Linked DNA regions of Nothobranchius furzeri. The protein of the gene in region 3 interacts with the protein of the main gene of each other region in a pairwise test. Links are inferred from orthologs where the notes say so. Each region holds a gene or a part of one and is shown on either strand. Other genes may lie near its edges.

What was found. The genes of interacting proteins can lie anywhere in the genome.
Region 1: the proteins of gfap (region 3) and nxf1a interact in a two-hybrid assay, tested with the Homo sapiens proteins (3 studies listed by BioGRID and IntAct). The two-hybrid records come from large-scale screens. The link is inferred for Nothobranchius furzeri from reciprocal best matches to the Homo sapiens genes GFAP and NXF1.
Region 2: the proteins of gfap (region 3) and pdlim1 interact in binary tests that used the Homo sapiens proteins (3 or more experiments, as listed by UniProt). The link is inferred for Nothobranchius furzeri from reciprocal best matches to the Homo sapiens genes GFAP and PDLIM1.
Region 4: the proteins of gfap (region 3) and pdzk1 interact in binary tests that used the Homo sapiens proteins (3 or more experiments, as listed by UniProt). The link is inferred for Nothobranchius furzeri from reciprocal best matches to the Homo sapiens genes GFAP and PDZK1.

What each region holds. Positions count from the first base shown.
Region 1 is NC_091741.1:88,147,399-88,153,343, reverse strand, and holds the start of nxf1a (nuclear RNA export factor 1), read left to right. Parts: upstream 1-2,320; 5' UTR 2,321-2,439; intron 2,440-2,543; 5' UTR 2,544-2,552; coding exon 2,553-2,613; intron 2,614-3,654; exon of another isoform or gene 3,655-3,856; coding exon of another isoform or gene 3,857-3,884; intron 3,885-3,945; coding exon 3,946-4,008; intron 4,009-5,945.
Region 2 is NC_091752.1:6,247,709-6,253,845, reverse strand, and holds the start of pdlim1 (PDZ and LIM domain protein 1), read left to right. Parts: upstream 1-2,512; 5' UTR 2,513-2,669; coding exon 2,670-2,762; intron 2,763-4,081; coding exon 4,082-4,233; intron 4,234-6,137. UniProt on the Homo sapiens protein: Cytoskeletal protein that may act as an adapter that brings other proteins (like kinases) to the cytoskeleton. Involved in assembly, disassembly and directioning of stress fibers in fibroblasts.
Region 3 is NC_091745.1:10,094,637-10,100,829, reverse strand, and holds the start of gfap (glial fibrillary acidic protein), read right to left. Parts: upstream 3,510-6,193; 5' UTR 3,493-3,509; coding exon 2,954-3,492; intron 1,641-2,953; coding exon 1,580-1,640; intron 1,486-1,579; coding exon 1,390-1,485; intron 1,308-1,389; coding exon 1,146-1,307; intron 172-1,145; coding exon 46-171; intron 1-45.
Region 4 is NC_091754.1:24,604,080-24,610,069, reverse strand, and holds the start of pdzk1 (Na(+)/H(+) exchange regulatory cofactor NHE-RF3), read left to right. Parts: upstream 1-2,365; 5' UTR 2,366-2,456; intron 2,457-4,642; 5' UTR 4,643-4,646; coding exon 4,647-4,853; intron 4,854-4,922; coding exon 4,923-5,136; intron 5,137-5,626; coding exon 5,627-5,959; intron 5,960-5,990. UniProt on the Homo sapiens protein: A scaffold protein that connects plasma membrane proteins and regulatory components, regulating their surface expression in epithelial cells apical domains.

The sequences.
Region 1 (5,945 bases), on a different chromosome or scaffold from region 3:
TTTTTTCTTTTAAATCCCAATTGCCTATTTTTGCTCATTTTAAATATATTTTTAAACATTTTCTAAATGCTTTTTTATATTTTAACATTTTTTTTTTGTTTTTGTGAAGCACCTCGTGATTTTTATCTTGAGAGGCGCTATAGAAATGATATTTTCTTCTTCTTCTTCTTCTTCTTCTTCTTCTTCTTCTTCTTCTTCTTCTTCTTCTTCTTCTCTCCAGACAACAGGGGGAACTCAGAGCTAGTCTGTTGTTCTCCCAGGCACAATAGCAGCTGCTTGTATACTCTTTTAAAGCCCCTTTTAGTCTCTCTGGTTTTGAAGTTTGGAGCCCAGATCCAGTCTGTTGATGGTTTAGAATTTAGATTTGGCCTGTTGTGCTCTTTTGTTTTTTGTTTGGCTTTAGCTAAGAGTAACCTTTAGTTATGTCCAGAGGACTTATTGTTTTGAGCTGTTTTGAGTAGTTGGTCCTTTAGATAGTTAACTGAGTTTTGAGCCGCTGCTCTATTTAGTTACTGCGGCTTCCTCCCACAGTCCAAAAACATGACTGTTAGGTTGATTGGTCTGTCTAAATTGTCCTTAGGCGTGAGTGTGTGTGTGCATGATTGTTTGTCCTGTGTTTCTCTGACTTGCCCTGCGATGGACCAGCACTTTGTCCAGGGTGTACCCCGCCATATTGCCCATTGACCGCTGGAGATAGGCACCAGAACCCCCATACCCCCCCACCCCACCCCACCCCCCCGCGACCCTACATGGACAAGCGGGTACAGACAATGGATGGATGGATGGATGGATGGATGTTCTATTTAGTGTTTGAAATATTAGTTTTGAATAGCTTTCCCTCCCTTATTATTAGTAAGGAGGTGCCCTGTGTTTAAAGTTTTCAATTAACCATCATAGTTCCTTTTTTATGGGACTCTTTTATTTAAAATATGAGTCATTGGTTGGTTCCCTTTCACCTTTTAATCCCGTGTTATTCCCTCCTGGACCTGCTAGACCAGATAGGGGTGTAACATAACCAAATGTGTTTCTAAAATCTTAAACTTCTGTCACAGATGTCTGCTGGACAACGAGTGGGATTTAAACAGAGCTGAACAGATATTCAGTTGAAGGTAATGCAAAATCAAATTTTCCTATTGCGATTTTCTTTACACAGATGAATATGGTTCTGATGGTTTTTTCCATTATTGATCTGCAGAATTTTATTTGAAAAAACATTTCAGGAAGTTGTCACACAAACTCTGAGAAGGTACAACAGCGCCAACATTAACAGGATTAATTAAACAGTTTAAAACATTAAAAAGGACCTGAGGTCTGTGGCTGTTTGTTGCCACAAGCTGAGACATCAACTGGGATTTAGCTAGTTTTACAGAATTATTAAAAGTTATTAAGCATCTGCAGAGACACATGCAAGCCCATTCTTACACATAGCATCCTACTGGCTAGATATGATCAATGACCAAGAATCCACCTGAGGGAAAACATTTTATATCATCAATCTGATATGCCAAATGCCATTGGGCTTATTCATAAATGTTGATATATGCTAAACAATGACGTTATCTGAAAATTTGGTCAAACAACATAAAGAAGAAAAAGGGATTTTCGGGTGTTTGTCGCCTCCTGGCGGTTGATCTCTTTTACCTAATCAACATAAATGCTAAACAATAGCTGACATGTAGGGGTCAGTTTGTGTCAAGTATTAGTAGGTTTCTAAAGAAGAAGGTAGCTAGGGCTTTGGGGGCATGGAGAATTCAGACATCATGCCACAGACTCAATACTTCAATTATCATCTTATCTGCATAAAATTTCGTGAGTGTCCGTATACTACTCACAGCCACGGTTGTGACACTAGGCCGGAGTGACACCAAGCGAGGGCTAGAAGACGCTGGTTGCAGCTTTAATTTTTTCTTTCTTCCTTTTCTAAGTGTATGTGCTGCTGTAGCAAGTGAATTTCCCCACAGTGGGATTAATGAGGTCTATTCTATTCTATTCTATTCTATTCTAAACACATTTATCAGACAAGAATAAAAATATTTTTTATGTTTTTTTAAACATTGTATTATTTGTTGGAAAATGAAGCAAGAAGCAAACAATACGTTAAAAAAAATGTAAATCTCGGATGATCTTGACATTACACCTGCTGGTCTCTGTCGATCCCAGCAGGTGGCGTCACGTCATTAACTGCGTGCATAGGAGGAAAAGTGTGGGACAAACACAACCTAACATCTTAGAGGGAAGAAAATTCACGTTTTAGTTAAAATATTATGAAACTGGGGGAAATTATTTTGAGCGTCAATATAACCGACATATATCGATGGTTGTCAGACTGTGCTTCTGAGTGTAGCTCGAAAACCGCCATGCTAACGTAAATAGCTTGCTAACGCTAACATCTAGTGGGTTCCGTTCAAAAGACTAAAAACCGATAAACCCGTTTAAAGTGTAAGTTGTAATTGTCTCGCGCTGCGCACATTTGAGTTGATTCTTTGTTTTTAGTAACAACGTATTTCAAACAACAGTGTAAGATTTATCTGATTTTCTACTAGATTGGCCACATGATTCCGATTTGGAAAAGCTACTCCAACTTAGCCGTGGTGACACGTGTGCTAAATGATGGTAAGTGAAATAAATATTTGTCCCAGCTTTGTTTAGTCTTTACGATGTCAACATTATTTTCATTTATTCTTATGTATTGTTACGATTGAGTCGTTCTAAACTTAGACGTGACTAACGGTTTGATTCCTCCCCGCTGGAGCACATGTTTCTCATTTCCATGGTCACATGTTAATTTCAATGCATCTGATAGATAATCAGATGATGTATTGTTACCATTAAAGACTAGATTATATGGTCACAATTTAAAATTCCAATGACCTTGATAAAGTTGCTCATAAAATTTGTATAAAATTCATGTTTTGCATGAAAAATAAGGAAATAAAAGTATGTGTATGAGGAATATGGTTTTCTTTTAGTTACCGATATGGCTCGCACTAGGGCTTACAAACAGTAACAAACACAGAAGCCGGTGAAATCTCAAAAACTTAGTTGGATATGAAATACTCAGCAGCAATTGAACTTTACTTTTCTAAATTCAGACTCACTTTGGTCTGTTCTGCATCATAATTTCTCATGAAAGGTTTAAGATTGTTTGCTGAGACATAAACAATGTTAATAATTTATATTTCTGCATTATAAAGGCATCTGTTACTTGACGTTTATTGGTTATTGTAACTGCAGCTTGTAATGTATTGCTCTTGTATTTATATTTATTGACTCAGTATATCATCTACTGAAAATTAAATTACTGTTGCAGCATCATCATTTTCGTGTTAACAGATATCTTAAAATATTTTTAAAATGAAAGTTTTTTTTTTTTTAGTTTTTAGTTGACTGAAGGTTAGGCACTAACATTTTGTTCTATTGAATACTTCTGTTCACTAGCTGTGGAAAGGGAGCCGATTTGAGTCCAGAAAAAAATACCTAGTAAGTGCAACTAATAGTATCGGCATAAGCTACAGCTAACGAGTTTTCAAATGTATTCGTATAAATATGTGTTACGACCGACTGGCTTTTCTCTTGCGCGAGTTATATATTTGAATTCCAGGGGAAATTATGCCCCGGAAACGGAAGTTGAGCAAACGTATATTTCCGCTATGACCTCAACTTGTTAGCAGAAGGTGTTCGCTAAGCTAAGTTACTAGCGAGTTCGAAGTTCACTTCGTTCAGCTTCTACGCTATTTTTTTTAACAGGATTTAGTGTTTGAGCTGTTTTTAGTGTCACTGTTCTGTGTTTTGTGAAAGAAAGGTCAAAGCCCGCGGGGTATTTTCACTCCGTAATTCCCCCCTTCAGTAACGCAACATGGCGGACGGCGGTCATTACTACAACGGTAAGAAACATGTCTGTAGCATTAACCTTTTATCTGTGCTGTTGTCACCGCTTTTCTTCAGACTATGGAGATTTTGTTGTGAAGAGAGAGGTCTCAAGCACAGGTCTCACGGTGCAAGAAGCAGGTAACGTGAGATCTGCTCACAGATGTTTGATCAGTCCCGTTTTAGATATAGATTGTTTAGTTAGTACTTGTGTGGTGGTTTCTGGTAACTGTTAGTTACCAGTTAATGGTCCGATTATTCAAAACATGTAATACTCCTAAGAGAACGATCAAACGAAGATATGAGGTCTTTTAAAATAAACAGGCTAAAAATGAGCTTTAACATTTTTAATACAATCTTTTACATTTTTATTTCCTTTTATTCACTGCTCCATAGTCATGGAACAGGTTACAGGAAAACTGGAAATTAACCAAACTTATCTCCTTGAATACATTTCAAACCAAATTGAGAACACTTGAGATTAGGGCTGCACGACATTAGGAAAACCTGCGATATTCGATAACAGTGCTTAATATTGCAATATCGATATTACTCACGATAAATGAACAAATACTAAAGTAGGGCTGCTCGATTATGGCAAAAATAATAATCACGATTATGGTGACTGAAATTGAGATCACGATTATTTAGGACGATTTTTCAATTTATGTTGATTTTATTTGTTTTTATTCAGTCATAAAATTGCTCAGGGCACAATCAGGACAAAAATAAGAAACAAGATGATCACTAAAAGAACTCCTGATTCCCTGTATAAAAGACCAATATACTTATAGCTCATAGTCTATGACCCAAGGGCTGTAGACCTTGGTTTAACTCATTTAAGTCTAACCAGTACAGAACCAAATACCAATATCTTGCAAATACTGACAGCAAGAATTATACAGTGGCATTTATAACAAATAAATGCAAATAAATTGATGTTCACAAAATGTTGCATAACATTTATTGAGTTGTGTCAAGGTGCTGTAGGAGAGTGCACTAGCACGGTGTCCTCAGAGAGATTAGTTATTATTTATCACCAGCGTGAGGAACTTATTTCTACCTTATTTACAAACTATTTATTTACAAGTCCATCAGTTAATGTAATAATTGTCCCAACCACAGCTGCACCCCCCAACCCGGTCTCACAGCAATCAGGGGCACGCTGCACGTGTGTTTAGTGCGCCGCACGCGCACATTTAGCTGTTTTTAGCGGCTCAGGAGTCCGCAGGTGCGGTGTGTGTGTCACTCACTCTGGTTACTCCAACAGGGAGCAGAGCGGCTCCGAGAGCTGTCTTTAGCGACCGACACATCACTACATCATTCCCTTTCCTAATGTCCTGAAGAACGGTCCGGAGTGCAGGCGGAGTGTTTAGCTAACCTGCAGGAAACGTCGACCACAGTTATCCAGAAAGTAGCTAAGGGTTACCAGAGATGTTTCTGAGATGTTCGCCAGGTACTTTTGGGATTAAAAAGTCAAGAAGGGGGTCTGAAAAGCTGCTAGAAATAGCGTCAAAGTCGCCAAGTTGGCAACACTGTGGAGGAGCGCTTCATTTGCAACTCAGGGCAGCGCAAGCGGGAGGAGCAAATAATCGGCTTGTTTTGTTTTTTATAATCGTTCAAAACTCAGATCGTAATCGTGATTAAAATTCGATTAATTGAGCAGCCCTATACTAAAGTATGCATTGTTGATGTTGTCTGGGGTGTGACGTCTGCTCTGGGTTCAAAGCAAACAAAAACTAATGCATGAATTCCATTACAACATATTTCTATTGCAAAAATATGCAGCTCCACCTGCTACTGTAGTAGCAGCAAAACAACAAACTGCATGCATGCAGTTTCTCAGTGACTTTAAAACATCACCACCACCATAAAAAATTTTCTGATGCTCCAAATACAGAAAAACATCCCTAACCAGGGTTTTTGAATAAATAAATAAAAATCAGAAAATTACTTTAAGTGTCAAATAATAGTTAACATCACTTAAATGCAACAGCAAATTCTCTCATTGCTACTGAACATTTTCTCCACTTATGTGGTTATGATATAAGGCTGTTGCTGCAATTGGGAAGTGATCT
Region 2 (6,137 bases), on a different chromosome or scaffold from region 3:
TCCAAACGCTGAAAAATTCTGCAGTAATCGTCCACGATGTCATAATTTTTTTTTTATTCAAGTTTTTATTGAACTTTCGTTTAGGGGCTGGTACTTAGCAATCTCAATAGATACTAAACATGGAGGGATTAAACATACAGATATAACAGTTGATTTTTGGATACAGGTCCCAATCATATAACTCTTGCAGACACGTAATGTCGGAATAACAGCAGTCACATAACGTGCTTGACTTCACCCAAGGCCTTTGTCTGTCTTCATAAAGTTCCAGAATCCATCCCAGTGAGAAGTTCCCTCTCTGCTGTCTTCACTCATTCTACATTCATACGATGCAGATTCGGCCATTGCACAGACCCATTACTTAACCTCTGGAGATTCTACTGTGTCTACGATGTCATAATTTACGCAGTTTGGTGGTCTCCTACAGAGGGCCATAAAAAAATGTTTTTCTTCTAATCATTAAATGTGACACAGCCACCCTCCCGGTACTCCGAGTCATGGACGTAGTTTTGGGGGGGTCAGGGGGGACATGTGTACCCCCCACCCCCACTTTTTCCATAGTCTTTTTCTGTCCCCAGCACTTTTTACCGTCTAAAAACAACATTACGCTATATTAAATAGACACTGGTCGAGCACAAGGACCTAGGGGAAAACATCCGCTTGTGTTGAAGTCCGTTTCATATTAGAACCATCCTTGAGGTCATCTACTGGCTCTGCTGATACATGCTAACGTGTGATTGGCCATTCCTGCCACCTGTGTACTTGACAGTCCTGCATTCCTGACATTGCATAAATAAGCCTCTAGGCCAGGGGTGTCAAACTCATTTTAGCTCAGGGGCCACATTGAGGAAAATCTAGTCCCAAGTGGGCCGGACCGGTAAATTAAACACAACTTTAGATTGTTTTCTTTGTTTTAATACAATCACTATAAAACAAAGCTGGAGCCTGAGAACAGTGTATTCAAAATAGTACAAGTACAACACCTGAAGTGTACTTGAAAATTTGAAGAAAAAAAAAATATATATATAATATATATATATATTTATATATATATATATATATATATATATATATATATAATTAAATAAAACATTCCTTAGTGATTCAGAGCTTACTGATAACATGGCTAGATCAGTTCCATGCAGCACTTAAAGTATATTTGACTCATTTTGCTTTACATCTTTTAGCTTTCACCAGCACATCAATATCAGAAGTCACATCCTGAGTGGCGGCCAACTTCAGGATGTGATTCAAGTTCTTGTGTGAGCCTTGAGCGCAGCTTTGTATTATTTATACTCATTACAGAGGAAATTTGCTCACAAAGATAAGTTTATTTTCACTCTACATTGTAAAGTATGAAAATAAAGTTTACACAACCATCTCGCGGGCTGGAGTTAACCTGTTTGCGGGCCGGATCCGGCCCGCGGGCCGTATATTTGACACCCCTGCTCTCGACTGTACTTTTATACATAGTTATTGTATACTTACTGTAAAGACCCCCCCCCCACACACACACACACAAACACCACACACACACACACACACACACACACACACTTCTAAAGTCAAAACTACGTCCATACTCTGAATGGACTAAATTATAGCGCATATTATGAGGTTCCGAACCTCATATTGGTGGCTTCAGTTCAAACACTGAAACCCACATCATGAAATATTAAGTGTAGCTTTATCTTTTACGCTGAACCTTCAGACATGCAGACTTTGCATGTGGGCTTTTGTCTGAGCTGTGCCACAGGTGAGGCTGTTTGCTTAAGGGGCTGGTGACACACGTATTTTTGTTAAACAAGGGCAGGACTTCTGGTGAGCTTCTGTATGCTCATCTAGATGATTAAAATTCAGTAAAGGTATGACAAAAGCAATGTGTAGTTTTAAATATCAGAAAATGAAAGCAGGGTTTAGTGAGGAAGTATCTATGGGTGTGTTTAGATCAGTCTGTCTGCCAAAAGCACCCCCACCCACCCCACTTTCCTTGCAGGAATTCGGGCTTTGGGAGTGGCACAGTCCACATCCTGGGATTTTACTCTACCATAAATGGTAAGCGCGCACATAACATGATGACGTCAGGGCAGGTCTGCATCCCTAACTAAAACAGAGATCATGAGAGGGTAAAATCCGAGGAGGCACCGCTCTGCTCCACCTTAAAGAACTTTAGTTGCATGAACATTTTTCGTAGTAGACAATTAATCACTTTTAAGTAGCATCAGTTTGTCATTTTGGGACACATAATGTTTTAATAAAGCTAGTTTCTGTAATATTACTGTAACACAGGGCTCGGGTGTAGGGTAGGGGCTATTTTAGTGTTCCTGCACGTTAAAAGAGGATGATATTATACAAATATTCTCTTCTGTAGGAGCGTGCGACATTCAATAATTATTTATTTAAGAAAACAAATAACTGTACCGTCACGTGATCAAGAGCAGAGCTAGTTTGTTTACTGACATGGAAACGCGCCGTAGTGAGACATCTTCCTAATACACGATCTCCATAGTATCAGCGAGGAAACGCGGACTTGCCCAACTGAAGGTGAAGGGTCCGCCTTCTGGTTAAATGCTGGCGAGCTGCAGTCAGGCTCAGACCTCGGGCTGCTCAGGAACCGCGCCACAAGTGTGAACAAATAATCTTTTAGCTGCACTTACGACACTCACGTGATGCCTCTCCAGGTTACGTTGGAGGGTCCTGCACCCTGGGGCTTCCGGCTCGTCGGGGGCAAAGACTTCGAGCAGCCTCTGGCCATTTCTCGGGTGAGTTGAACTTTTTTTAAACATGGACTCGTGAAAAATCCACCCCGTTGTAACAGTTTCTAAAATTACAACACAGAGTGAAAGCAGAGTAAGACCTCATCTGGTAGGTTAAGTGTAGGCTAGTTAGCATTAGCTTCATCTGTTTGTTTTTTTAGCGGCGGTCAAGCGAGCCGACATCTAAACATACGGTCAAGCCAGCTGACGTTTACAAGCGGCTAGTATTTACTTGCTCGTTTACATCGTGTATTACGGTTGAGTCGTTGTTTGATCGTGCAGTCTGCAGAGCTACGTTTTTGATGAAATTGGCAGCATATTTGTCCAAAAGTATTATTTAGTTTTACATGTTTTATATTTACCGCGACAATGCAGGGATTCTTTGCATTCCTAATGTCCTTTTTGGCACTCGTAAGGAACTTTTACCGTAATATCTGATGTATGCGTGCAAGAAAATCTTTCTCTAATTTTAAACAGCCATAAACTAGTAATTTTCTCTCTGGTTGTCAGCAGACGTGGAAACCCAGCCTTTTTATGGTTGTGACATGTTTTAGCCCTTTTGCCTTTTATTTTACAACTATGAACAGTCACGCTGAGTTTTTTCTACAGATGAGTAACGGTGACGCTCCTGAAACTGTGAGGTAGCAGATTATGACTCTGCTGTGTACTTTGCCTCAGTAGGGAGTACTCTTGTTTTTTTTTCTTGTTATAAACACCACCCATGGAAATGTGAGGATGAGGAATTCCTGGACTGTGCTTTTCATTTTATCTGCTCATATCTGGATGAAAAGTCTGCCCAGTGGGCCAATAACTGATGATAAATGATAAATGACCTGCACTTGTATAGCGCCTCTCAGAGTAAGGACTCCAAAGCGCTTTACACTAGTGTATCATTCATCCATTCACACACACACACATTCATACACTGGTGGTGATGAGCTACGATGTAGCCACAGCTGCCCTGGGGCGCACTGACAGAGGCGAGGCTGCCGAGCACAGGCGCCAGCAGGCAAGGTGGGTTAAGTGTCTTGCCCAAGGACACAACAGCAGAATTATCTGTCCGGAGCCGGGATCAAACCTGCAACTTTCCAATTACTGGACAACCCGCTCAACCTGTTGAGCCACTGCTGCCTGTTCCTAAGTGGCTCTGCTACCGTTTACTGAAAACTCAACAATGTGTGCAGCTTTCAGACCATAAATATTTTTCAGGAGTATTTTTCCCCAAATGTTCTACAGATGTATTAATAATTACATACAACTGTTGTGAAGGTGTCCAGTACCCCCAAACCTACTGATGAGTACTTCCGTAATGTTCTTTGTTGCAGGTGAACCCTGGGAGTAAAGCAGCTGAAGCCAACCTGCACATGGGGGACATCATTGTTTCCATCAACGGAGAGGCAACCGAGAACATGACTCACTTGGAGGCACAGAACAAGATCAAAAATTGCGTTGACGGAATGGTGCTCTCTATAGACAGGTGGGCTGTCTGAACCACGTTGGTCTCTGCTTTTTGCAGATGATGTGGTCTAGGGCTGCAACAAACGATTATTTGGATCATCAGTGAATCGGGTGGGGTCTCGACTCTATTAAACGGATTAAACGGGAAAATTTAAATCAATCAAACTTTATTTAGAAACCGCTTTTCATACAAAAAATGTAACTCAGAGTGCTTTACAGGTTAAAAAGACCCCACATATCCCACAAATGTCATTAACTAAATTACTTAATTAAAAACTACTAGGGAAACATTTTCTCTCTCTCCTCTCTTTACTTTATTAACAACAAAACATGATTAGAAAACAGTTCAATAGCATGCGAAACAACACGTAGTATATCCATGATTAAACTATGATCAGTACAGTTTGATGTATTTCATTGACATGTTCCATAGTAAGCGACTGGAAATGCTAATAACATTTAATTTCTACTGCTAAAAATGTAATGGTGACATATTTAGGATGCACGGTTTGGCAATAATCCAGTTTAAATTATGTTCACAGATAGACGCATTTGTGAATTAGATGCTACAGGGGCTTGCCATAATCCCGCTGCGGTGTGCAGCAGAGCAGACTCAATCCTGACAGCAGTTGTTCTGCTCCGTAGAGCTGCAGACAGCTAAGAATAAACAGGATGGTGAGGTCTTTTCTTCCACATAGAGTTTAAATGTTCTTAGTTTCGCAACCATCGTGTTTTTATTGTGAGCCTGCTACCCGCTAGCATTAGCTAGTCTGCCCGTATTTGCGCTTTTGATCCCAAATTGTTTCTGCCTTTGTGTCTTTGCTGGTATCCGTTTTCCTCCACAGCACCTAGATTAGCACACGGTGCGTCAGTAAGCGTGTCGTTCCTCATCAAAACACCGGCTTTCTCTCTCCTGATCTGCCTCCATCTGCTCTGTTGCCTCCTACACAAGAACTTCGCACATTCACTGTTAAATAAAGGTTGCGCAACACAACAAATCGATGACGAAATGCGTTACCAATGCATTTCGTCGTCGATTTTTATCGATTCTTTGTCGCAGCCTTAATGTGGTCTTGTTGGCTTAACCGGACAGCGATCTCCATCTTTCGCTGGAGCGGTTCGCAGCTGAGTGTGAAGCAGCTGGAATGAGAATCGGCTCCTCTAAATCGGAGAACATGGTCTTAAATCGGAAAAGGGTAGAATGCCTTCTCCAGGTCAGGTTTGAGGTCCTGCCTCGAGTGGAGGAGTAAGTGTCTCAGGGTGTTGTTCACGAGGGAAAGATGGAGCTCGGAGTTGACCCGCTGCTCCTCCACGTCGAGAGGAGCCAGTTGAGGTGGCTCGGACATCTGGTCAGGATGCCTCCTGGACGCCTCCCTGGCAGGGGCGGATTTAGGACTGAAGAAGATCCGCGCGCGTGACACGCACTAGTCAACATCATATATATTACAAATCACAAATATTTTCAAGTAAGACTCACAAACCGGAGTCAACACCAGTCTCATCAAAGCTGGGGTTCTGTCGCGGTACTTTTTGACTAAAAACGTCTTTATATCCATCTTCACATTTGCGTTTCAGACAGAGACTAGAAGAAGCCAGGCACTGTAGAAGAAGCCGGCTGCTGAAGGGCTTCTACAGTGGTGGAGGCTCAGGCAGGCTGTATACAAACTACTGCCAGCTGCTCCCTCTCTGTTGGACTTTGGTACTGCATGTTACTTCCGCGATTTAGATTCGGGGCTTTTCATGAAACATCCGGGGGTTCAGCCCAAGTAGCCGGGCCTAACGCCGCCCCTGCTCCCCGGTGAGGTTTTCTTGGCACATCCAACTGAGAGAAGACTCAAGGGAAGACCCAGGACATGCTGGGCGGACTATGTCACTCACCTGGCCAGGGAACGCCTTGGGTTTCCCTCGGAAGAGCTGGCCCAA
Region 3 (6,193 bases):
AGATTTGACATTTTCCTGATGGTTTTGTCGGTTAGCCGAGCTTACTGTGCCACGAAGAGCATCCAGGTCACAGGTCAACACTTGGACCTGACGGCGGTAGTCATTGGCCTCCTGCTTGGCCTGACGCAGGGCTTCTGCATTTCGATTGGCTGCGTCTGTCAGGTCAGCAAACTACAAAGGAAATAAAATGTATAAATAGATTATCTGGATGTTTACTCTAAAATAACAACTTTTACTCTTCACAAAAATTTCCACAATAAGCTCTCAGTCACAATGCAAGAGGTTTGAGCGTTTCTTTTATTTTATTTTTTAACTCATTCACTGCCACCGTTTTCTGAACAGAAAGCCCCCGACTGCCAGACTCACAGAGTATTGTGCTCTAGGACCACGTAAACACCAAAACTACCAAAAGAAAGAGTAGAGTCAGCGTGTTCTTTCACAATCCATTGTCCACGTGTGAGCCGCAGAAGCTTTTCCGGTTTGTGCCTCGCTTTAGGCATAGCGGTGTCCCAAACCGATTTCCTAATTCATTGATTGTCTGCTTCCTGATCACATGACATGTGACACACACAGGTGAAAATATACTTTAGAGCTGATGTTTATCGTCAAAGCCCCGTTAAAAAAAGCCAGTGACTTTAGTCGTCATTGGTAGTGAATGAGTTAAAAGTTGAGTTTGAGTTTTTTATGCAGGGTGAACATGAAAATAGTCTCCTACACCTATCTCCTGCATTACCTTCTGATAGAAAATAGATGGTGAAACTCTAGGATTTTAAAATCCTCACACATCTATGTCACACTATGAATTTGCATTCATGGTCTCGCCCATCTTGGCAAGCGCCCGTCCACAGGAAGGCTTGTTTTTTTTGCAGCAGGGAGAGCGAGCGGAGGGTGTTTTGGTGACAGTGACATGGCTGAACATGTTCTGTTAGCCAATCAGAAGCAAGACGTGTGCAATTCAATAATAGTAATGAGTAATTCTACTGTTTTCAGTCCATCTCTGCACCAGAAAACATCTGCATCTCATAACAGGAGCATCATAGCTTTATTTTTTTTTATGGCTCATAAGGCATTGAATTACACTAAAGAACACTGCACAAGTATTGAATAAATGAGTAAATCCCTCCTTTAAAAGTAAAATATTTGACCTTGGATCGGTACCAGTCCTCTGTCTCCTGCAGGTTTGAAGTGGCCATATTCTCGTACTGAACTCTGATGTCTCTCAGAGCAGCAGTTAAATCTGGTTTTGACACATCCACGTCAACGTGGACCTGTTGGGCCATGATCTGCTCCTGCAGCTCACGCAGCTCCTGGAAGAAAAACGTGGCAAAAGTCGTGATTTTGCTAAAATCTGTCTAGTTGTTTTGGACCAACTTCAGCGTTTCTTCATACTTCTTCATGAATTTTCTTCAGGAAATTAATTTCATCCTGCAGGGCCTCGATCTTTCTCTCCAACTGGACCCGACTGAGCGCTGCTTCATCCACATCCTGTGTGAATAATGAGAAACATCGCAGGATGACAGCAAACAACATTGAGATTGTCAATATTTTAAAGATTTTTTAATATTACTAATATTTCCACCTGTCTGAAGGCGTTCAAGCTGTTCTCTGCTTCCTGTCGGAGGCCCATTTCATCCTGCAGCCTGAGTCAAGAAAAATGTGAAGAGCTTCTTACTGAGAGTTCCCAGCCAGGAGGAATTAAATTACACTAAAATATTTCTGAAACATTTGATATGTATATATGTATATATATATATATATATATATATATATATATATATATATATATATATATATATATATATATATATATATATATATATATATATCACAAATGAGAGCACAATGTCTGGGGTCCTTGGGTCAGAAAAAACAAACTCCTGCGCAAAGTTTAGTTAGCTAAAGTTTAATTAAGAAAAATTAAACGTATTTTAAAAATGTGTTCAGATTTTTGTTTTGTCTTCTACTGAGCTGCAGAGGAGTGGCAGGACTCAGCTGAAAGAGCAGCGGCTTACGCATCATTACACTTCCAGTCTAATCTAACAGCCGGAGGAGACCTTTCCCACGGGATGGAACACACACACACACACACACACACACACACACACACACACACACACACACACACAGAGAGAGAGAGAATCCGTGTCAGCGCAGCACACAGACTGATCCTACCCACTAGAAGCAAATGAAACGTAGAGTGACATCATGCAGCTTCATGCAGAGGTTGCTAACAGAAAGAGCAGCACGAATTTTAAAAAAGGTGACCTTTAACCCCTGAAGCAGCAGCATCCCTATTCATCCTGCAATCTCTCACAGGACCAGCAGCTGCTTGGTCAGAGGGCAAAAAAAAAAAAAACCCTCCAGTTTCCACCCTGAGACTTTCTATTGGCCTGTCTCAAAATGAAAAAGCTGACATGAGGCGTGATGGTGGATGTGGAGAAAAGGAGCCGGATAACCAGCGGTGGTGACTTTGTGCTTTGGAGAAAGAGAGGAAAGCTACATCTGCCTGGCATTCTGTTCCCTTTGTGGAGCGCCACCATTGTGCTGCTTCATTCCTCCACACTGACTGAATGGCAGCGAGGGTTCAGTCAGGATCACGTTTGTAAAGAGGGATAGAGGAGTAAAGCCCAGGCAGACCACAGCGCTCTGCATTCCAACCAACCACAAACACATGTAAACAGAAGCGCTACGTAAATACAGACATGACAGGTGTATTTACAGGAATTAACAAAAACATTCTTCACAAGGTCAAATTACTCCTCTTTATGTAGTTTGAAGCACTGAGACTTTTTTGGGGGCTGTTCCGGTTTTCTCCTGGATTTATAAGCTGATGGGAAGAAAAGACTAGGGGAAAAGTTTTAATCCCATCATTATTTCTGTGAAGCATCAATAGGACAGCGAGCACACAAGACACACAAAGGCCCAGGTCTACTTTGGGACCGTTCTCTCCTACCTCTGCTTGAGCGTGCCCAGGTCTGCAGACAGGTTGTCCCTCTCTATCTCCAGACGAGCCTTGCCATTGGTGAGATCGTCCACCTGCCGTCGTAGATCTCTCAGCTCCATCTGGTAGATGTCCCCCAGGCGGCTAGGCTCCTTCCCCTTCAGCTGGTTCAGTTCTGCCACCAGAACTTTGTTCTGCTGCTCCAAAAGCCGCACCTTCTCTATGTAGCTGGCAAAGCGGTCGTTCAGGCCCATCATCTCCATCTTCTCGTTGGTACGAGTTTCTTTGTACTGGGCCTTCAACAAGGAGTCAGCTGAGAAGTCCAGCCGGTCAACGGGGCTGCCCAGCAGCAAGGCCGTGCTGGAGGAGCCCAGGGAGACCCGGGAGACGGGGCTGGAGTGGGTGATGCTTCGAGGGGCGCCATGCCAGGAGAGGCGGTGGGAAGATAGTCCACCTATTTTACCTCCTGAGCTGCTTGAGCTCTGCGGCCCAAAACGTCTCCTGTATGAGGACTGTGCTCTAAGGCTGTCCATGATAGGGAATAAGCTCATTCAGGGGACAAACAGGGCTTTTATATAGGGAGAAACCCCCCCACCCCAAGTCCAGCAGAGAGGCCACAGGCTGGGGCAGTGAGAGAGGAGGGTGGCAGGCAGTGAATGGAACAAAAAGAGATGGCAAAGGGGAGGTTTACATGCGCCAGGGATTGTCTGTGCTCCTCCACTCAACTACAAATGTCTCCTGGATTTTTTTTTTTACCCTCTCGTCTCCCCCTTTTCTCCCCTTGGGCTCACTCTTTCACGCTTACGTTCGCCCCGTTTTTGTTCGCCCTCTTTCTTTCTGTTCCAAGCGAATGAAAAGGAATTTTGTGCAACAGAGTCTGGCCACAAATTCAACCTGACCACACACACTCTCGCAGCCGCGGCAGGAGGACCGGTCCAAACAGAAGAGCATGTTGGGGAGGTCGGCAATAAAGACAGAAGATAAAATCACATGCTCACAGCATGCTTTGAGCTCTAAATAAACAAGATGTAGGACTGAACTATCAACATTCCTCCCGATTCCTGTTGGGATCTAGTTACGTAACGACATAACTGCTAATAAACTCGAGAATAATTTAAAACATTGGATTCATTTTTAGAGTTACAGGTTTTCCGTCCTGCATCCATATCTGCAATGCTTAAAATGAAGGAAGTATAGGAGGAGACAATAAATGAACACATTCTGAAAGTTTTATTTAAAGATAAACAGGAAGACAAATCAGCAAAGGTCTGACATGAGAGACCCTGCTGATCATCTGTGGCTCAAGCTTTCAGTGTTTGCGAGGCTGTTGGTAACAAATTAAATAAAGATTTAATTCGAACTGGTTATGGATCCACGCAGAAGCCAATCAAATAGTTCATGGACCAGAGCTAACATTTCTCAGAAAGGATTTAATCACTGGTCTGATAAATAATCATCAGTTATATAAAGCTACCTTCTCATTTCACAGTAGAGTAATACATGAATTCATCCTTTCAGCATTTGTGGGTAATGATAGCATTCATCCTGTCATCATCGTGGAGGATGCAAACCGCTGTAGAAGAAGAAAAGGAGTTACAAGATTTTGATTCTGATGATTGTGAACTAGTTTCAGGTTATTTGACATCCGGCTGCTTGGAGAGACAGATAGACGGAGTAGATGAAGAGGAGCACGACGATGAATACAAGAAGGACGGGGGGGGGGGGGGTTCGGTGAGTGCAAACCTAATCTGAACTTCAGAATGACAAACGGAGGCTGCATTACAAAACCCTTTTGACTCATTACCTTGACAACCGCTGGGCCGGCTACATCAGAGCACTTCAGCAAATCTTCTCTTGACTTTTTCTTCGTCTAAAGTCGAGCAGGAAGAAGAGAATGTGACCTGCTTTCTTCTGTAAGTGGCCAGAAGGGTCCCTCAGTGCAACAATGTTACCTAATGAGGCCAGGAAGCAGGTGAAGTGATGAACAGCTGCCAGAGAAGGGGGGAAAATAAATTCCCTTTAGCCTATAATCTTTATCGTCTTTATTTTTTTTAATGCTGTAGAAATTGTTGATGATAAATATAAATAACTGAGGAAATAGATCTTTGTATTATTTCACAGTTTTTGGTCCAACATTTTCAAACCTTTGTTTCCTTTAAGCAACAGTTTCTCAAATTTCAACCTTTGACCTGCAGGTCAACCACCTGGGAGAGAACAGTTCTTACTGAAGTATGACTAAACACCCCAGACTGGCAAAAACCAACAGCATTTGGTGTTTAAATGAGTGGTGTTTGAAAACAAGACAATAATAATAATAATAATAATAATAATAATTTATATATATATATATATATATATATATATATATATAATTATTATTATAACTATCAGCTTATAACGACTGGGTTGCTGCTGGCAAACCTAGGTCTGGGACGATGCTGGAGTCTAAGAAGGCTGCTAATGCTAGATTTAAGAATGCAGTGTGCCACATTAAAATGGAAGGAGTTAAAGCTCACCAGCAACAGTAAACCACCGCACCAGCAACCATTAATGGAGTATCTGGAGATAAGAGTACTGCAGATCTATGGGGGAAACACTATATGTAAATAGTCATGAGTTCAGCTTAGGTAACATCGAGTTCAACTATGGCATGATTGTCCGAGCTTATGAAGTCTGCCTTGCCATTGAGAAAATAAATAAAGCGTGTGGCCTAGACCAACTATCAGCGGAGCACATGAAGTATGCTAGTCCAAGAGCTCATGTACTACTCTCATTATGCTTTACCAGTCTTTTGAAGCATGGTCTCTTACCATGAAATGCTATCAGTTCCATTAGTCCCTGTAGTAAAAGAGAAAATTGGGAAAACATCTTGTATTGATAACTACAGGCCGATTGCACCGGCTAATGTGTTATCCAAAGTGTTTGTGCATTTTCTGCTGGAAAGACTCAGTGATTTTATAGCAACAACAGATAATCAGTTTGGTTTTAAAAGTGAGCTTAGTACTTAAAGGAAGTGTAAATAAGTATATGAGACAGAATACATCTGTTTCTATGTGTTTCTTAGACGCCGAGTCAACCACACTAAACTGTATCTTAAACAACAGAGTAGAGGGGTGCCTGCATATGTCACTGAGAACTGTGTGTCCAAGCTTCTCACGTGCAGCCGCCCTACTACATGCCCACTTGACCCCATTCTGACTAAGCTGCTTCAAGCTATTGCTCCCACAGTAGCCGCTGCAGTCACACATGTGA
Region 4 (5,990 bases), on a different chromosome or scaffold from region 3:
TGAAGCGGATTTTTGTCTCCTTCCCTTCAGCTCCGCCAGTGGCTCTTTGACTCCAGGGATCGATAGCTCAATGATCATTCCGGGCTAACAGAGCCGACGGCTGCATTGTCGGAGTTACTGAGTTGTGTCTTGATGGGGATGCTCAGAACACTGACCCATCAACTGGACGGGCGTCTGACTAGTGCAGTAAACGTGATATCTGCATGAAAAACAGTAAAACTGATCCCTGGGCTTGTGCAGCGTGTTTTACCTGAAAGTAGCAATTCAATTTGTATTAAATGCAAATTAAAAATTAGTTTACAAATTAATGGACTGTTAATCTTTGCAACTGTGCAAATTAAACATCAAAACAGTTTTATTCTAATTTGGATCATTTGAAGCTGTGTAAAAATGTGCTGGAACTTTTATTAATGAGCCCGTTCTAGTCGCCAGAGGTGGATAATGATGAGGTCACTCGTCCATCAGAGTTAAATCACACATAGAATCATTCTCCTGCCCTTTAAAGTTTAGTAACTAACTCTAACGTGCACGATTAGAAACAAAAGCAGATTATTAGGAAAAGATGGGGTTTTGGGCTGTGAGGTAACAGTGTTAGCCACCACATCATTGCACCAACCACCTGGTGGAACATCTGAGCCAATTAGGATAACCGACAACAGCTCAGAGACGCCATAAAATGCAACAAATGTGGTCATTTCATTGCCTGCAGTACACAACATCACTGAAATATTCAGATAATTAAAGGAAATCTGTGTATGCAAACGATTCCTGAGTGTTCATGATCCTTGGGCCATTTAAAGCCTCAACAATTCTGGGTTCAGAGATGCATAAAAAACATGTTGTCTTTAAAAACCCACCTTTCATCAGGATTCTGAAGCTTTGCCAACATCTCTGGACATAAACTCTAGCAGGCTGTTGTTCTGTCTAACCTTACTGGCATGTAAATCCTGCAAAAAAGTCAAGTTAGCCACATTTAGTTTGATTGTAGGAAGCAAAAAAATAAAAAAATAAAATAAAATCACAAGCATTCTTCTAAAGATCTGAGTGCTAAACAGTACTGACAGGAACCCAGGAACTGATCATGACCATTTACTTTGTTACTGCTCAATGCAAAAAGGAGTAAAATGCCTAATTTAACAGTTTTCCCTTGTAAATTTGAAAGAGACACTTTTGACTGTGTGCAGTTTGTGCTGCACTTCTTACAGCATAGAACAGGAGGCTGTAATGTGATCCACATTCTTGCAGGCTGTCCGGAACCTGGATAATGGATGCCCTTGCATCTTTCCACCATCAGCGACTAATTTCTATCAATGTGCCTTAATGCTTCTAGTGGTAATGCCCTATTAAGGGCAGCAGTGTGCCAAAAAAATAAAGAAAATGTGCCAACTCAAAGGTTTTCTGACAGAAATCAATGCACTGAATATGATTTAGAGCTTATAACAGAATCAGTGTTTTTCCAACATGCATAAGAAGTTTATTTTTTTAGAATCATTTGATATTTTACTAAAGCAGAATCAAAATGAAAATAAAAGTTTCCATCTAGTTTAGAAAAAAATGTCCTATATCAGCCACAAATAAGGTAAAGACAGATGATTATTTCCTTCATGATTCATTTAATTTAATTTGTAATTTTAGTTATTGCTTACCTTTATTTTAAAATATTTGAGATGCTATTATGAAGTCCCCTAGTGTCCAAGTCCTCATGCTTGCTCCTAGAATTTGACATTTATGACACGTTTCTGTAAAAACACACCTTTGTCCAGTCCATATGACAGCAGTACAAGACCTTCATACCTACAGCTACAGTAACAATAAACAATACACCCACGTTTACTGGGAACATCATAAAAAACCTTGTAGACGGAGTACGTACATGACAAACTACAATAAAACCTCTGTGAAATAAATCCTCGTTCTCTTCACTGAGTGCTAGAGATTATCTAAATCAAACTAATAAAAGTAATAAAAAATAAATAAACCACACATGAAAATATAATAAAAAATATCCATATTGAATTTAATTGGACATTTATTTTTGCTAAATGTTGTTTTTCCACAACATAAACTTTCATAAATCAGATACTAAGTATGTTTTCTTAATCTTAATGGCTGATGGCCTCTTCTGTGTGTTTTATTCATGAATTTTAGATAAATAAACATAAACAGGATGCAGTCTTGTGGATTCTGACTATGATGTGTGAACATGGCTGTTCAGCAGCCACCTGCTGCAAACTTTGAAAAATAAATAGATGACTGCTCGCACTCGACAGACTGCAAAGAGCCTCAGACACTCATGACACAAGACGTTGTTAAATAACTCTTTAGGCTGAACTTTGACCTGTCAAAGTCCCTTAGGGAGGTGGGGAGGGGGGAGTGCAGGTTTAAGATGCCATAACAGCTAATCAGTGACAGGTGAGCTCCCCCTTTAGACGCAGACACTCAACAGAGGAGAGTCGGTGAGTGAAATGTTTATTTTACTCTTTATTTTTTATTGTTATACTTTTTTTTAAATAAATTTGGGGAAATTTTAAGATTCATAAAGGTTTCCTGTGGAGATTAAAGAACACGTTTAATCATTTGCTGGAAAACCTCTGATACTTTAACAGGTGAAAAAATATCAACAAGTTAAAAACGGTGTTATCACTGTTTGTTGCTTTGGGTTTATTGATATTATTTTCCAATTTTTAAGTATTGAACAGAATAATCTACTTCTTTGGGGCTCTTAATATTAAACTAGCTTTATATTTTGGTGAAAAAGCTGTTAAAATCAAATCTAATACGACGTAAACTTTATAACCACATTACAAATATGTACCGCTTTTAAATAACTATTAAACTTTTAATAGTTGTATCAATACTTCAGCTGTAAGCACAAGTAAAAAAAACAAGATTAATAAAGTCAAATGAAGCATACAGCTAAACATTTCTTTTATAAGGATAAAATAAATATTACACCTTTTTAACTCTAAGATAAAGGTCATAACTCTATTTTAAGTTGTTATTAGTGTGTTTTTAATTATTTAATTGCCTAAATTATACATTGAAATAGTTAAAACTAATTAAAATACATTTTGTATTTAATACATCATGAAAACAAACCCAAAGTTTTTATTAATTTACAAATTTCTTAAACGTTGCAATGAATCTCGTTTAAGACATGAGTGTTTGCGTTTTTAATATAAGCACACCTGCCTTTTATAGCATCCCGCTGAGAGTTAAACCCACAACCCTTAATTTGGATTCAAAGTCCAGTGATTTTTATTTCACTGTCAGCTGTGTGTCCTGCAAATCATTACATGCCTGTTGTCATGGAAGAGTAACTTTTCATCCTCTATCAGCACTTCTGTCACGTCTTTATGTGCTGAAGTATCCACTCTGATAAATATGCTTAATGCGTAGCACAATAGATTACAAGGTGAACTAATTTATGATCGTCAACAAATGTAAAGGGGAAAAACAGCTGTTTAAGTTCGATTGCATTTTCCAATCTCAAAGCTCTAAAACCAAAATAAGTCTAAGGCTTAACTGGCTTGGTCAAATTTATTGACACTTTAAAGGTGTGGAACACTCAGTTAATCAATGCATCGGCAATGATCTCTAGCAGAAAGAAATGGATTCTAATTTATGATGCTCCTGTTTCAGCACAGAGAAGTAAGCTGAAGGAGAAAGTAGCTTCAGACAACAAGATTAGTAGTTTTATTTCCTGATATTTGGTCATCTTGCATTGGATTGGCTAACAGCAACGTGACAAAAGTTAACGTTTTATCTCCACAAATAACTCAACCCTGAAGGAGTTCTGCTGTGTGGTGGAGTTGCTAATGCTAACTAGATTCCACTAGCCAAGACGTTCTCTGCTGATTCCTGGATGCTAAACCAACAACAGCCTTCCCCATCACGAGTCAAGATGGGTGAATCCATGCATGGATATAAATTTTGGTGTGTGTGTGTGGTTGGGGGGGGGGGGGGGGGGGGCATGTCACCCCCCCCCCCCCCACACACACACACACCCCACACCCACGCACACTTTTGCCAAAGTCATGTTTTGACCCCTGCACTTTTTATCGTCCAAAAACAATATTACTCTATATTAAGTAGACACTGGTTGAGCTCTAGGACCAAGTGGAAAACAACTGTTTGTGTTGAAGCCTGTTTCCCATTAGAACATACTGAAAAGATTCCCGCTGGTCCTCGGTTGTCCCCCCACCCCTTACGCCTAAGACTTAACTATATATATATATATATATATATATATATATATATATATATATATATATATATATATATATGTGTGTGTGTGTGTGTGTGTGTGTGTGTGTGTGTGTGTGTGTGTGTGTGTGTGTGCAATACAAGGGAGACGATATGATTTACTGTGAAGTTAAAAGCTGACAATATTTGCAGATGTTAAAACAGTTTTATTTGAAAACTGAGGCCAAATGCTTCCAAGACACATTCAGTATTATTGTGAGATCTCGCTGGTTTGTCAGAATGAAGGCAGTAAAAGCTGCTGCCACCTAGCGGCCGGAGTTTGAATTGCACCACACAAAAGAAGTACAATACATACAGAATATTGCGATATTACATTGTCTCAACATTTTCTTGCATCTCTGTTAAGTACCGTTTATTATTTCTTTGTTCATGTTAGGACAATGGCCACGTACACGCCAAGGGTGATCTCCCTGGCCAAGAGGCCTGGTCAGACATTTGGCTTCTTTCTGAGGGTGGAGCAAAGTAAGGAGGGCCACCTGATTCGCTGCCTGGAAATGGGAGGTCCAGCTGAACTGGCTGGTATGAAAGATGGAGACCGCATCCTTCGGGTCAATGGAAAATTTGTCGATGGGCTTACCCATTCAGAGGTGAGCAGAATGTAGATACACAGCAGATCCAATCACCAGCAGTGAATTTCCATGGTGTCCCTCTACTAGGTGGTGGAGCTGGTGAGAAACAGTGGAGCATCTGTCACATTCCACATTCTGGATGAATCGTCTTACAATCAAGCAAAAACACTCGGAGTGAACCTCTCCGACCCTCAAAGCTCACCCATTGCCAACGGATTGGCTAAAGAAGATTGGAAGCCCAAACTCTGCTACCTGGTCAAATCTAAGTCAGGATTTGGGTTTTCCATTAGCTCATTTAAAGGTAAGGTACATTTGTAAAGGGTTAAAGAAAATCTACAATTCTCAAGATTGCAACTTAAAGTCTAAGTCAATGTTAGCAGTATTTAAATGTTTATGCAAAAAGAAAAAAATACCTTTTAATTAACCCATTTGTGCAATTTTAATACTTGGATTGGCTACTTTCACAACTCATTTTATTTATTATTTATTTTCATAAAGTAATTAAGTCAGAAAAAAATGATCTATTGAAACACAAGCTATGATTGGGTTTGTCTTTTTCATTTGAGAAGTACACCAATAACATTTGAACTACTTTGACCCTATATCTGAGTTGTCCTACATGCTACTATGACTTATACTTGTACTTCACTCTGAAGTTGTTAGATGAGTAACAGAACACACCTATGATAACATAAACCACTCCTATGTGGTTTTCCATCAGCAACAGCAACACTCTCACCCTTAGCAACACATGTTATCTGCTTATCTATCTATATGCCTTATGACTATAGGAGAGGAGGGTCTGTTCATGACTGAGGTGATTCGGGGGGGTGTGGCGGACAAAGCAGGAGTTCGTGCCAAAGATCGTCTAATTGAAATCAATGGTGAGAACGTTGAAAAATGCACCCACGAGGAAGCAGTGAACAAGATAAAACAGGGGGGCAACAGCGTGATGTTTCTGCTGGTTGATGAGGAAACCGACAAATTCCATCAGAGCAAACAAGCAAAATTAGGTTCGTGGAGAGCAACAGTCAAGTATCTTCCTCTCCATCCACGCATCGTCAAAATGACCAAAGGATCAGATGGATATGGCTTCCTGCTCAGAGAGGAGCCCAACCAAGCAGGCAAGGCCATGGTAACATGCTGTACTTTTCA